Diceros bicornis minor: one gene and its partners. The protein of the gene in region 1 interacts with the protein of each later gene in a biochemical or structural test. Links are inferred from orthologs where the notes say so. Each region holds a gene or a part of one and is shown on either strand. Other genes may lie near its edges.

Region 1 (3,742 bases):
GAAAGCTTTACATGTTAAGTGTTATTAAATCATTTAGGGCTCCTACAGCAGGTGGTGGTATCAAGTTCACTGAAAGCTCATTCTTGGGACCAGAGAAAATGAGTATGAAGTAGGACAGTCAGTCTTTGCAAAATCAATACAAAGTGAACGTGTTAGCTTCGTAAAAACCATCATTCATCTACATTTAAGTCACATTCAAAGCCACTTTTTTGATTACTAACTTATCAGGTAATGCGTTAGAGTAAAACCTTTATTAAATTCTGAACAAGCAATCTGAGCACAAATGTAGTGGTTGTCTTTACAGAGTGAGCAAACAATAGTCAGGAGTGCTAAACAGAGTCAATGTGAACACACAGGGAGGTGGTAACCCTTAATCCACACCAAGAGATAATTTAGTACAATGACTAGGGTTACAGAGCGCATATACAACGGAATAAAAACCAATTAATCCTGCTAGGAGGCTAGCACAGGCTAACCTCAAACCTGAATATAATGCTCAGGGCCGCCACTTATCGGACAGTTAACTGCCCAGGATGTTTCCTCATCTAGTATGTAGGACTAAAAAATATAATGATTTAATACATCATCACACCAAGCCTTGCAGAGGGCACATAAAGAGTAGACTCCAGATATTTTCTCTCAAATTCACTCAAATACTTACCCTTATGGTATCTCCACACTTCAGTGAAGAGCTTGGGCAACAATCATAACAGATCATATATGAACAAATATAATCTTATTTTTGCCAGTATTTTCAGACATCCAATACCATCTGTTTAGCTCATTTTTTAGTTCAACAAAATTCTGCATGAAGCTGCAAATAATTACCTCTTCTCCACTGCTCTCATCTTCTTCATCTTCTGACATTTCCTCATCTTCACTATCTTCTTCTACCTCCTTCGGAGGAGGAGCCATTTTCTTGGAGTCACCTTGATTTTTACCAGCCTAGAAGACACACATTTATTAGCACACTACACCTCTAACGTTTCACGCCACTCATACTTTGCCATCATTCTTCACAGTAAAATACAGTCATCTCCCTTTCTCACGATCCAGTTTTCATACTACTAGATACCGAAATTATCATAAACCACCTCTTGCTATCAACGTTAGGACGGGAATTCTCAACCTCCCACACATTTTCCGTCAGGTTTTACAAAAACCAACCATAGGAAGAAAAACCAACTTCAAGGAAATTATCTCCCTCTTGCTGTTGGCCTTTATTAAGCACACCCGTCTTTGAAACTACACTTCCAGAATCAATCATTACAACCCGCACAATTTTTAAATATTCGGTAGCTTACAAATGAACACTTGTAACAGCCAATAACCCATAGCCCTTCAGCCGGGGCGAAAACCACCTTAAAATAGGTTCTGGCCCCTTATTCCACCGCTCTCATCTATATTCAAATTCGGGCGACGATCTTTCAGACCTTTTTTTTTTTCCAAACCGCGCCGTACCCTAGCGACCTTTGGCCTTCTGAGGTTTTCCTTTCCCAGGGTAACAACCCCGCCCCTTCGGCCGGCGGGGCCACGTGGGGTACCTCGCAGGCCACCATGTGCGCGCAGAGGCACGCGGCGGGGCCTCCCTCCCGAGCCCCCCTCGGGCCCGCCCGCCGCGCCCGAGTGGCGAGCCCGGAGGCCGCCGGGCCTCCGACCGCAGCATCCCGCCGCTCCTCGCCCCACGGCCCGCTTCCCTCCGCGGACGGCGGGACCCACGCGGCGCGGCCCACGTGGCGGGCCCCGCGCCGTGGCACGTGCGTCAGGAGGCGGGGCCCCGCTCGCGCCCGTCGCAGGAGTTCGGCCTCATCCCTCGGCCTGAAGCCCAGCGCCCCCTCCCCGCGCTCCGTCCCGGAGTCTTTCTCCGCCCCATCCACCACCCGCGGCACCTGCCGAAGCTCTTCACCTCGCTACCGAGGAGCCAAAAGCCGCGAGACCTCCCCGCTAATCGCGCGAGACTTGCCGCAGCATGGCGCCATCGAACGCGCCTCAGACGGCGCGCAGGCCCTCCTCCTCGCGGCGCCGCGCGCGCGCGCTCCTCAGAAAGCAGGCCTCGACGTCCGTGTTTGCGCGGGCAAGGCCTCTTACCTTTGCAAGCTTCACCATGATGGCGGCTTAGGACGGCAGAGCGTGTGGCGGGCGAGTGGCGCAGACGAGCCCACAGGAACCTAAGCGACGTCGATGGCGGCCGCAGGTACTGAAGATCCCGGAGCACGTACACTTGGCTGCCAGCTAGAGCTCGAGACTGAGGCGAAAGACTGAGCCTGCCCAGTAATCGCCTCTGGAAAGGCGACGACGGCGCCCTCGTGACTCCGTATCGACCAATCAGAGTTCGCGTCCATCCCATGAGCCAATCGCGAGCCTCTCCCCGAGAACGGCGCGGGGCGGGGCGCGGGCGGGAGTGGGCGGGCCTAGGAGGCAAGGAGGGGGAGGGGATTCGGTGGCGGCGCCCTGGGGGCGGGACTCGCTTTGTGCAAGGCCGGCACTGATTGGGCCGTGGGCGCGCGGTGCCCGGCTGCCCCTCCGCGGCCCGCGCTCGCGGCGCCTGCGCTGTCATACGGCCGTTTTTGGCGCCGCTTGTGCCCGAGCCCGAGTGGTGAATACGCGTGGTCCCCGGTTCCCGAATGTGTTCGGGTCTTGTCGACTCGGACGGCTTTTGAGTTCGTCGGAGGCCTAACGCACGCCTCTGGCGCGTGCTCCTCGCTGAGCCTCCCGGCGGCCGTGGAGAGAGGAGTTCGCCCCGTTTCCTTGCTGATGAGCCCGAGACCTCTGGAAATTCAGGGACCGCAAGGTTCATGTTGGGGGCCCTCCTGAGCCCCGCCCGCCAACGAAAGAGGCCAGAAAAATCCCCCTCTCGGCGGGTGATGCCCTCCTGGGCCACGTGCCTAAAGCTGCCTCCTGAGAGCGGTTAATAAAGACAGTCGCGTACATTTGTGCGAGTTACTATGAGCAGTGCACAGATATCACATTTAATCTCGTGCGCTAGATGTTTCTCCCGATAGGGAACAGGCTCGGAGAGAGAACTTTCTGGCGGTCGCAGGGTGTTATATATCTGTGGGGTGGGGAGAGGGACTTGGTCAGGCTGACCACAGAGCCAGGCCCTGGACCATGCACAAGTTCCCTCTTTATTTGGACTAAAGCACCCATTAAAATGTGGCCGCGAAGTCTGTGTCACCAGATGGTCCAGGAGTAGGTCAAATAGTCAAAGGAAAGGTTTCCTCGATGGCGGAGGCACAGAAGATTGTCTTTGCATTGTTCAGGTGGGTCACTGCGGGCAAAACTTAATTGATGCCAAACTTAACCCAGAGCACTTTCTTCAGCTTAGAGCCTGCCTAGGATACGTCCTGGGCATCGGGTACCTCATTGTTCCTACAAACCAGGATACCTTCACCTATGACGATGTTTCCCCAACTGAGCTGATGTTCAGAATCACCTCTGGAGATTCCAATTAAAGACGCCTGGGTTGGGGCCCAGGACTTTGTATTTTAACAAGGGCGCATGGGGATTCCTGTGAGCAATCAAGTTATTTTGCAATTCGTACTAGAACACTCCTGGGACTGAGTGTATAGGAAACCCACGAGTACCCGCTGGGGCGCTCTCATCAGGGAGGAGGCTCTGGTGATCTGTGGAGAGTCCCCTGAGGAGGTTTCCATTTTGAACTCCGGGATGGGGGCGCAGGGGACACTTACTGGGTGACTGGAAACAGAACAGCACAAGCCAAGGCATGGTGGAATAAGACCCC
Region 2 (3,742 bases), on another chromosome or scaffold:
TGAGGATATCCCCTCTGGGAGACTGTGAGACGGGGAGTCCGCATTGGGGCACATAATGGGGAGGATCGGGAGCAGGTCCTGTGGGAGATGCAGGGACCCCCCAGACTGCCTCCCTCCCAGCCGCCCTCACATGGCCAGCTGGCCAGGTCTTCCCATGTCTACTCCAAAAAACCCCAGGCCTAGAGATTAGAGGCAGCCCAGGCCCATCCTGTGCCCTGCTGTCAGAGCCAACGCCACATGGACCCCACTCCAGGATGCCCTGCTCCTGGCTAGCTGTGGTCGGGAAGAGCAGCCATGAGCCAGTCCATGTGACACACCATCCCTCCTGCTGCCCCCATCAATGCCAGCGTGGCCCCCAGTCACCCATCTGGGCCACAGCAGGGACAGGAGGCCCCAGAGGCACCCCACAGTGGCACAGAACATGCACAGACCACATGGGCTTCAGCCGAGAAGCAGAGACCATGGGCGGCATTGCACGGGGTCACAAGGGGGAAGAAGGGCAGCAGGTCTCATCTCCTGACCCTGTGGAGCAGGGCAGAAGGCCGGAAGCGGGCACAGCAGAGCAGGCGGGGCTGGGGCTGGGGCTGGCGTCAGGAGACCTGGTCTGCCTTTGAGGCACCAAGTCCCCTAAGACAGCTCAAGTTCTCAAGGCCTCAGTCTCCCCAGCTGTAAAATGGAGGCAACTGCCCACATCTCGCCTGCTCTACAGGGCTACCAGACAGAGGAGGCAAGATGCTGATGTCATGGGCCAATTCTGAAAAATGAGAGGCTTGGCCCAAGGCCAGGGAAAGCTGGGCTCCTCGAGAGCTGACTGCTCCAGAGCCCAGCGTGCCTGCCTCGGGGCAATGGCCCCTGGCCCCACTGGGTGGGCTGGGCATGGCAGCTGCAGGGCCCACCATGCCAAGGAAGACCCCTCTCCCTCCTGCGAGGCTGGGGGGCCCAGAAGTGGCTGGAGGGAGGCTCTGGTCCAAAGAAGCCGCTCCTGGGCAGTGCGGCCAGGAAGGAGAGGGTCAGGGCCCTCATCTCCCCAGGCCAAGCCTGAGAGCGGGCCGTGCTGACCACCTGTTCTCACCGACCTCGCCCTGGCATGGCCAGCTTTCCTGGACAAGTGGAAATACAGGTCTGGGAAAGGGGGGTGGGGAGAGTCTGGGGTGAGCCCAGCTGGCAGAAGCAGCGCACAGCAGCGATGGCACTGCCGCCCCCACCGCACCGCCGGGGCGGGCCCAGTGCTGTCCTGTGTGCACGAGGCGGGAGCGGGAAAGGCCGTCTCAGCCTGCCCGGCTTCCAGAAAAGCCTGTCATTGCCTCCTCTCTGGGACACTCAAGCGGCCAACCAGACGATTGCTAGGACCTGGGGCTGTCAGAGACCCCTCCCAGCCCAGGGGGTGGGCAACAGGGCAGAGCTGGGGACTGGGTCCTATTTTGGGGGTATCCAGAGGCTGTGCATCTCAAACAGGTGTCTTGGGACAGATGCAGTGTCTTCCCACCTTCCCTCTCTGGGGGGCCTCGGCCACTCCATGGTGCTAGGTTTGTTCTAAGGGGCTCAGACTAGGAGCCCCCAGTGGAGTGTCCAGTGACCTCTGGAGTGCCTGGGGGACAGCCCCTGAGTTAGGCCACCCTCCAGGGTGGGGGCATGAACAGGTGAGCCTCTAGGGGCTGTGCCTGCCCACTCCCCACGGCCCCCCAGGCCCCGACCTGCAGAGGACCAGCCAGGGGCTGCCTGCTGGGAAACAGAGTCCTGCTGGTCTGAGAGCCCAGCCTTTCCTGTTCCTGCCAAGGCAGGACGAGTTGCCCCAGGAAGGAAGAGGAAGCACCCCAGGACACTAGCGCCTTGGAAATCACCCCAGAGCAGTGGCCACCCGGGAGCAAAGTCCAGGAGATGCCTGCCGGCAGGATGAAGTGCAGGTGGACCGAGTGCCTGTTCCGAGTCGCACCTGCCCCCTGCCCCACCTGAACCAGCCACCTGCCCCAGAGCAGTTGGGCGTGGGGCTGGGGGAGGGGAGCTCGCTCCCACCGGGTCCACGTGGAGGCGGCCGGGGCTTCCTCCTCCTGCTGGGTGCACGAGGGTGGCTCCAGGGGGAGGCCCATGACGTCACCTCCAAGTGGCAGGGAGCCAGGTGGACCCCACACCCACGCACGGAAGCCCGCCGGCCGGCTCGACCGTTCTCCCCCTGCAGCCGGTCGCCCGCCGCGATTTCCTCTTTCTTTGCGGAGCCCCGGCTTTCGCAACGCGGCGGCGGTCCCCGGGTGACAGCGAGACACGCAGCCTGGGGGGGAGGGTAGGCGACACAGCCTCAGGCCTGGGGCCGAGGGCAGGCGACGTCCGGGTCCCCGCAGGTGCACGCCGGGCCCGCGCCCCACCCGAGCGGGGACCAAGCAGCGCGGCCCGCACCCCCAGCCACGCAGGCGCCGCAGCACCCCTCCCGGGCCCTGAGGCGAGCATCCAGGCCGGCACCCACCCAGACCAGCACCTACCCTGGGCGCACCCACCCAAGCCCGCACCCAGCCAGGCCCCGCACCCACCTGGCTCGCACCCCCCCGGCCCGCACCTACCCGGGGCGCCGCAGTCAGCACAGTACCCGTTCCCCGGCCGCTGTAGCAGCTCCTGGACGGCCCTCCGCCGCTCCTTGGCCATGGCCGCGATGCCGCCCGCCCGCGAGGCCGGGGCCGGGCTAGGAGCGTCCGCCCCGCCGCGCTAGAGCCCCGCACAGGCCGCCCGCCGCCGCCGCCCCTGCGCCATCCTGGGCGGCCTCAGCCCGCGCGCCGGTTCCGCATTCCTCCCGCCCGGCCCGGCTCCGCCGCCGCCGCCGCTCGTGTCGCCGCCGCGGCCGCCGAGCGTGTGCCAGCGCGGGGCCCGGGGTGCACGGCGCGCTCTGGCCGGCGCGGCCCGCGGGCGGCCCCCAGCGGCGCGGGCGGGCGGGCGGACGGCCTCCTTCCGCCCGGCCCGGCGCCCCCAGCCCGCGGGCCCCGGGGACGCGCCCAGGGAGGGCTCCCCGCCGCCGCCCACCCCTATCCGGGCACAGCGTGCCACCTGCCCCGGCACAATGCCGCCAGCCACACTGGTGGTGGGGGCTTGAAGGAACCAAATAATTGCCAGCCCGGCTGGGGTCATCCGTGCAGTCATTCGGGCCTGAAACGGCGCCTGGACACCTACTGTGCGCCCCCCAGGCTGCGCACCATTCCCAGTGGGCACCCTGGGAATTGCTGAAGGAAGGGGTGCATGCCCAGCGCTGGGGACTGGGGGCTCACACCATCCCTGCCCTGGGAGGAGATGGCTAGCGGGTGACAAGCTCCAGTGTCCGTGGGCTCAGTTGGAAGAAGGGCCCCCACCCTCCATCCACGGCAGGGACAGGATAAAGCTCTCCTGCATCAGGAGGCCAGGGAACAACACACTAGTGTGACATGGGGAGAGATGGAGGTGCAACAAAAAGATGGACAGGCAACAAAAAGGTGTTTTCTCCTCTGCATGCTCCTGCATTGTTTCAAGTTCTTTCCATTTTCTTCTTAAATTGTGAATGCAAGGATACATCTTGATAAAAACTAATTGAAACAGTACCAGACAGGAAAATTACTACCTTTCCCAGCCCCGCCCCTGGCGAGTCTGAGCCAACCATGGCCAACAATCTCGTAGCATCCTTCCAGAATGGTCCGAAGCCTATTGGAACACCAAGGGAGTCCCTATTCCTTCCCATCTGCCTCTGGGGTTTTTTGGTATGGTTGCATGCTACTCAAAGCTCAGCTGG
Region 3 (3,742 bases), on another chromosome or scaffold:
CTAGTAAACATACCTAAGCCTCGGTTTCCTCACCTATCAATTGGAGATAACAGAACCTAATTCATAAGAGTCCTTCCGAGGATTCAATTAGATGATCCATGGAAAGAGCTGAGATTCCTTTCTGGTAGAGAGTAAGCATTCAATAAATATTAGTAATTACTGCTATTACAAGCAAACAAACACATTCTAAAACTCCACATAGCCAGTTTACTTAGTCTCTATACAAGTGGCCGTACAGATCAATAACCTACCCAGCCCACAATCATTCAAATACTCAATAGTTCCTTTGTATAATTTAGCTGAGAACCATGGAGGTTAACTTTCCCAGGAGAAAGGACTAACCTTTGTTTCATTACTAAATACATTACCTACTCAGCCCAGCTTGAAAGTTAAAAGAACACTTTTTCTGTATGAAGATCCTACCTTCCTCCAAGAAAGGTCAAAAGGACTTCTTACCTCCTCACCTGCCACATCATTTCTCTGCTCACACATCCCAAAGAAACATATCTATACTCTTGCTGGCTTTCTGAACTGCAGGACCTCATCTCCCTCTTTTAAAATCCTGATAGGTTGGCTAAACACAGTTAAGAAATACTCCAACCCCTGACACTCAGCACCTAGTCTTGCACAACACCAAGCTCAGAAGTCACCTTCTGAGAAATTTCCCCACCCCCAGACAAAATTAAGTCCCCTAGTTTCCCAAAGCATTCTGGGTATATATATACCCCAGTACCTACCTTATAATTAACTAATTACATCTCACCCAATAGACTAGATAGAAGACATGAGCAGCGTTGTGGCAGAAGGTTCAGCTCTAGCACTAAGCACAGTGCTTATAACATACTAGGTGCTCAAGAAACGCTACACTTGAACCAGATTCTTTCCTCACAGAGTACCATCTCCCACTGGATGCCCCACTTCAAAAGCTGAACATAAGGCCGCTCTCAGTAGAGCAGGCTAACACGATGGACTGCTGATTACAACATCAGAAAACCTACTCATCAGCTTCTCCCATTGGAGACGTTCCCGGAACCCAAACTCAATTGAGCAGGATTATGTACCATCAGAATCAGTGGGAATTCCCAGCACACTAGAGAGGGTACCTTCTCCTTCAACAGGATTGTTGAAAAGCCCACAGGGTGAGCTTTTTATTGGGGGAATCTTCATTGGGTAACTGAAGTGGAAATACTCAAAGAATAAATGCCTTGATTTGGCTGAAAAGGGTTCAAAGACATAAAGATCCAGGAAAAGCAAGCTAGCTCTCTATTCCTGAAAAACAGCGGCTTCTGAAAAAGAATGAACAGGAAGCAGGGGTGGCTGCTGGCCACTCTTTGTTTCATTAAATAAAATCTTTTTTCCTTCCCCACAGCCCAAAAGAAAACGCCAGTACACCAGGTCCAGACGAGATGCTCAACAACCCTTCCTCCTGACAAGTACACTAAACTGCGTTTCTAAAAAAACATTGCCTTAGGAACCTCAGCAACATGAAAAGTTCTGGTCAGTAATACTTTTATTTAAAAAAAAAAAATCAATACGCCCCATTCCAACATTTACACTGGATGGCCCATACAGAACTCGCAAACTTTTTGAAGAGAGGTACAACTACCTTTGCAAAGAACACAACTTGGGGAAAACAACCTCAAAATATGAAGAACTCCACAGAGGGTGGCTTTCGTTTTAGAGCCATAATTCCTATCATAAGCATCTTACCAAAAAAAAAAAAAAAAAAAAAATCAACAGTTTGCCGAAGGGTATCTTTCATTCTGGAAACAGAAAAGGAAACCAACAAGAAGCAGAAAGGGAATAACCCCCAAAATAAAGTTCTCTTCGGGAAAAACAGTAACAATTGAGTCTCCCACCCTTCCCTCCCGGGTGAGGTCTGTGATTTACAGGGCTCTGCTCGGCAGAAAGCTCTTTCTGGGCAGCTCGAGGAAGGAGCCGAGGGAGGGAGAGAAAGACAGCCACAGAAAGGAGAGGAGAGAGAAAAAGAAAATGGCGCAGAGACTAAGTCCCGACTGTCGACAAGGCGACTTTCCCGGGAGGAATCCGGGCCCGGAAAGGCCGCCCGAGGCCCGGCGGCGGGCGACGCGGGGTCTCCGTTGCCCCCTCTGGGGAGGGCCGCGATCTGGGGGCGCTGGGGTCCCCGGAAAGGGGGTCCAGAGGCGGCCCGATGGGAACAATGGGGCCGGTGAGCGAGGAGCCGGGACTTAGTCTCTGGGACGCCATGTCTGTCCTCTGCCCGGCTCGGGCAGGGCGCGGGGTGGGCGGCCGGCGGCTGGGGGGCTCGGGGTCGGGGGCACACTCACCATTCAGTCGGAAATCCCCTTCGATCTGGAGAGAGAAAAGGAGGGAATGTGAAACAACAAGCACAGGAGCCCCGCGGGCGGCGAGCGCGCGCGGCCGGGGGCCTAGCCCACCCCGCGCCCCCAGGGATGAAGGGGCCCCCGGGCGGCCTGAGGGGGCAGCCAGCCCCCCGAATTGTAACTTGGCGGCTTTCGCCTGGGGTCCAGCGAGCCGATCTCCTCCGGCCGGCCGCCTCCGGCCGGGGGCTCCGGCCTGTCAAAGCGGCCGGGCCGGCGCCGGGGCCAGGGCCTGCGCCGGGGGTCGGGAGCCTGGGCCGGGCCGGGCCGTACCTGAGAATCGTTGTGGAGATGGTCCCCGCTCATGTCGGCCGGAGCGGCGAGCGCGCCGGGCGGCGAGGGGCGCCGACGGGATGCGGACGGTCGGGACCGGCCTGTGCAGGCGGACGGGGGCTCCGGGAGGCTCCCGGAGGCGTGGGTAAGCGGCGGCGGCGGCGGGCCCGAGATTCCCGGAACGGCTGAGGCGGCGGCGGTGGCGGCGGCGCTGACTGACTGCCTGGCAGGCGGAGAGAGCAGACCCCAGCAGTTGTGTAACAGCCTAAGTTCGCATTTCGGCCCACTGCGCCTGCGCGGCCGCTTTTAAACGGGACGTCGGCGACGTCAGAGACTCGCGGAAAGAGGCCGAGGGTTGCGGGGCCCGCCCCCTCGCGCTTCCTGAGGCGTACCCGGCTTTGCATCGAAAGCCCCGCCCCTAGCCCTCGCTCTCTTCTGTGATTTGCATAAGAAGCCGACTCCTCCCACGGCCGCCCACCCTCAGCAACCTTCCCTTCCTCTCCCGGCGCCTTTTCTCGGAACTCCGGATCCCTCTGATAGGCAGTGCGCAGGCGCAGCGGGGACTCCGCCTCCGGACCGTGGCCGGCAGCGCGGCCACGTGGTGGGCCTTTAAAGGCCGCGGCGGGACCGCTCCAGGCCCGGGCCGAGCTGATATGCCGCCTCTTGGATCGCTTGAGCTGCAAGTAACTTGACAGCCGGGGCCCCAGAGCTCTCACCAGCTCTCCTTAGCTCGCTAACTGGACCCTGAGGCCGCTTGGCAGGAGGAGCCCCCGCCCCAGCCTTTGTCCAGGCCTTCCAACTTCTGGATTATTTCTCGCCCACTTCCTAAAATTTATTTTAATTTTTCAACCAACCGAAGGTCTGGTTTAGCTCCAGTTTTCAGCTGGGTACATGTAGCCCTGTGTCACATGAGGCCTAATTTCATTCGTTCATTCTACATACATGTATTGAGCCTCTACTGTGAGCCAGGAATTGTGCTGAGAAAGGGGTTGGGGCAGGGGGCCAGAGGAGACCGGACCTCGGGGGTAAACACGACTTGGCTCTGTCCATCGCTGTATCCCTAGCATGCTATGGGGCAGAGGGGAGATGAAATGAATGGAGAAAGAGCT

Evidence for each region.
Region 2: the proteins of NCL (region 1) and ADAP1 form a complex in vitro, tested with the Homo sapiens proteins (2 studies listed by BioGRID). The link is inferred for Diceros bicornis minor from reciprocal best matches to the Homo sapiens genes NCL and ADAP1.
Region 3: the proteins of NCL (region 1) and TOP1 form a complex in vitro, tested with the Homo sapiens proteins (2 studies listed by BioGRID and IntAct). The link is inferred for Diceros bicornis minor from reciprocal best matches to the Homo sapiens genes NCL and TOP1.

The regions. Positions count from the first base shown.
Region 1 is NC_080776.1:19,896,052-19,899,793, forward strand, and holds the start of NCL (nucleolin), read right to left. Parts: upstream 2,237-3,742; 5' UTR 2,107-2,236; coding exon 2,089-2,106; intron 946-2,088; coding exon 829-945; intron 1-828. UniProt on the Homo sapiens protein: Nucleolin is the major nucleolar protein of growing eukaryotic cells. It is found associated with intranucleolar chromatin and pre-ribosomal particles. It induces chromatin decondensation by binding to histone H1.
Region 2 is NC_080765.1:13,550,928-13,554,669, reverse strand, and holds the start of ADAP1 (arf-GAP with dual PH domain-containing protein 1), read right to left. Parts: upstream 2,739-3,742; 5' UTR 2,635-2,738; coding exon 2,553-2,634; intron 1-2,552. UniProt on the Homo sapiens protein: GTPase-activating protein for the ADP ribosylation factor family. Binds phosphatidylinositol 3,4,5-trisphosphate (PtdInsP3) and inositol 1,3,4,5-tetrakisphosphate (InsP4). Regulates the incorporation of CD63 and CD9 into multivesicular bodies.
Region 3 is NC_080758.1:19,539,425-19,543,166, forward strand, and holds the start of TOP1 (DNA topoisomerase 1), read right to left. Parts: upstream 2,885-3,742; 5' UTR 2,667-2,884; coding exon 2,634-2,666; intron 2,332-2,633; coding exon 2,307-2,331; intron 1-2,306. UniProt on the Homo sapiens protein: Releases the supercoiling and torsional tension of DNA introduced during the DNA replication and transcription by transiently cleaving and rejoining one strand of the DNA duplex.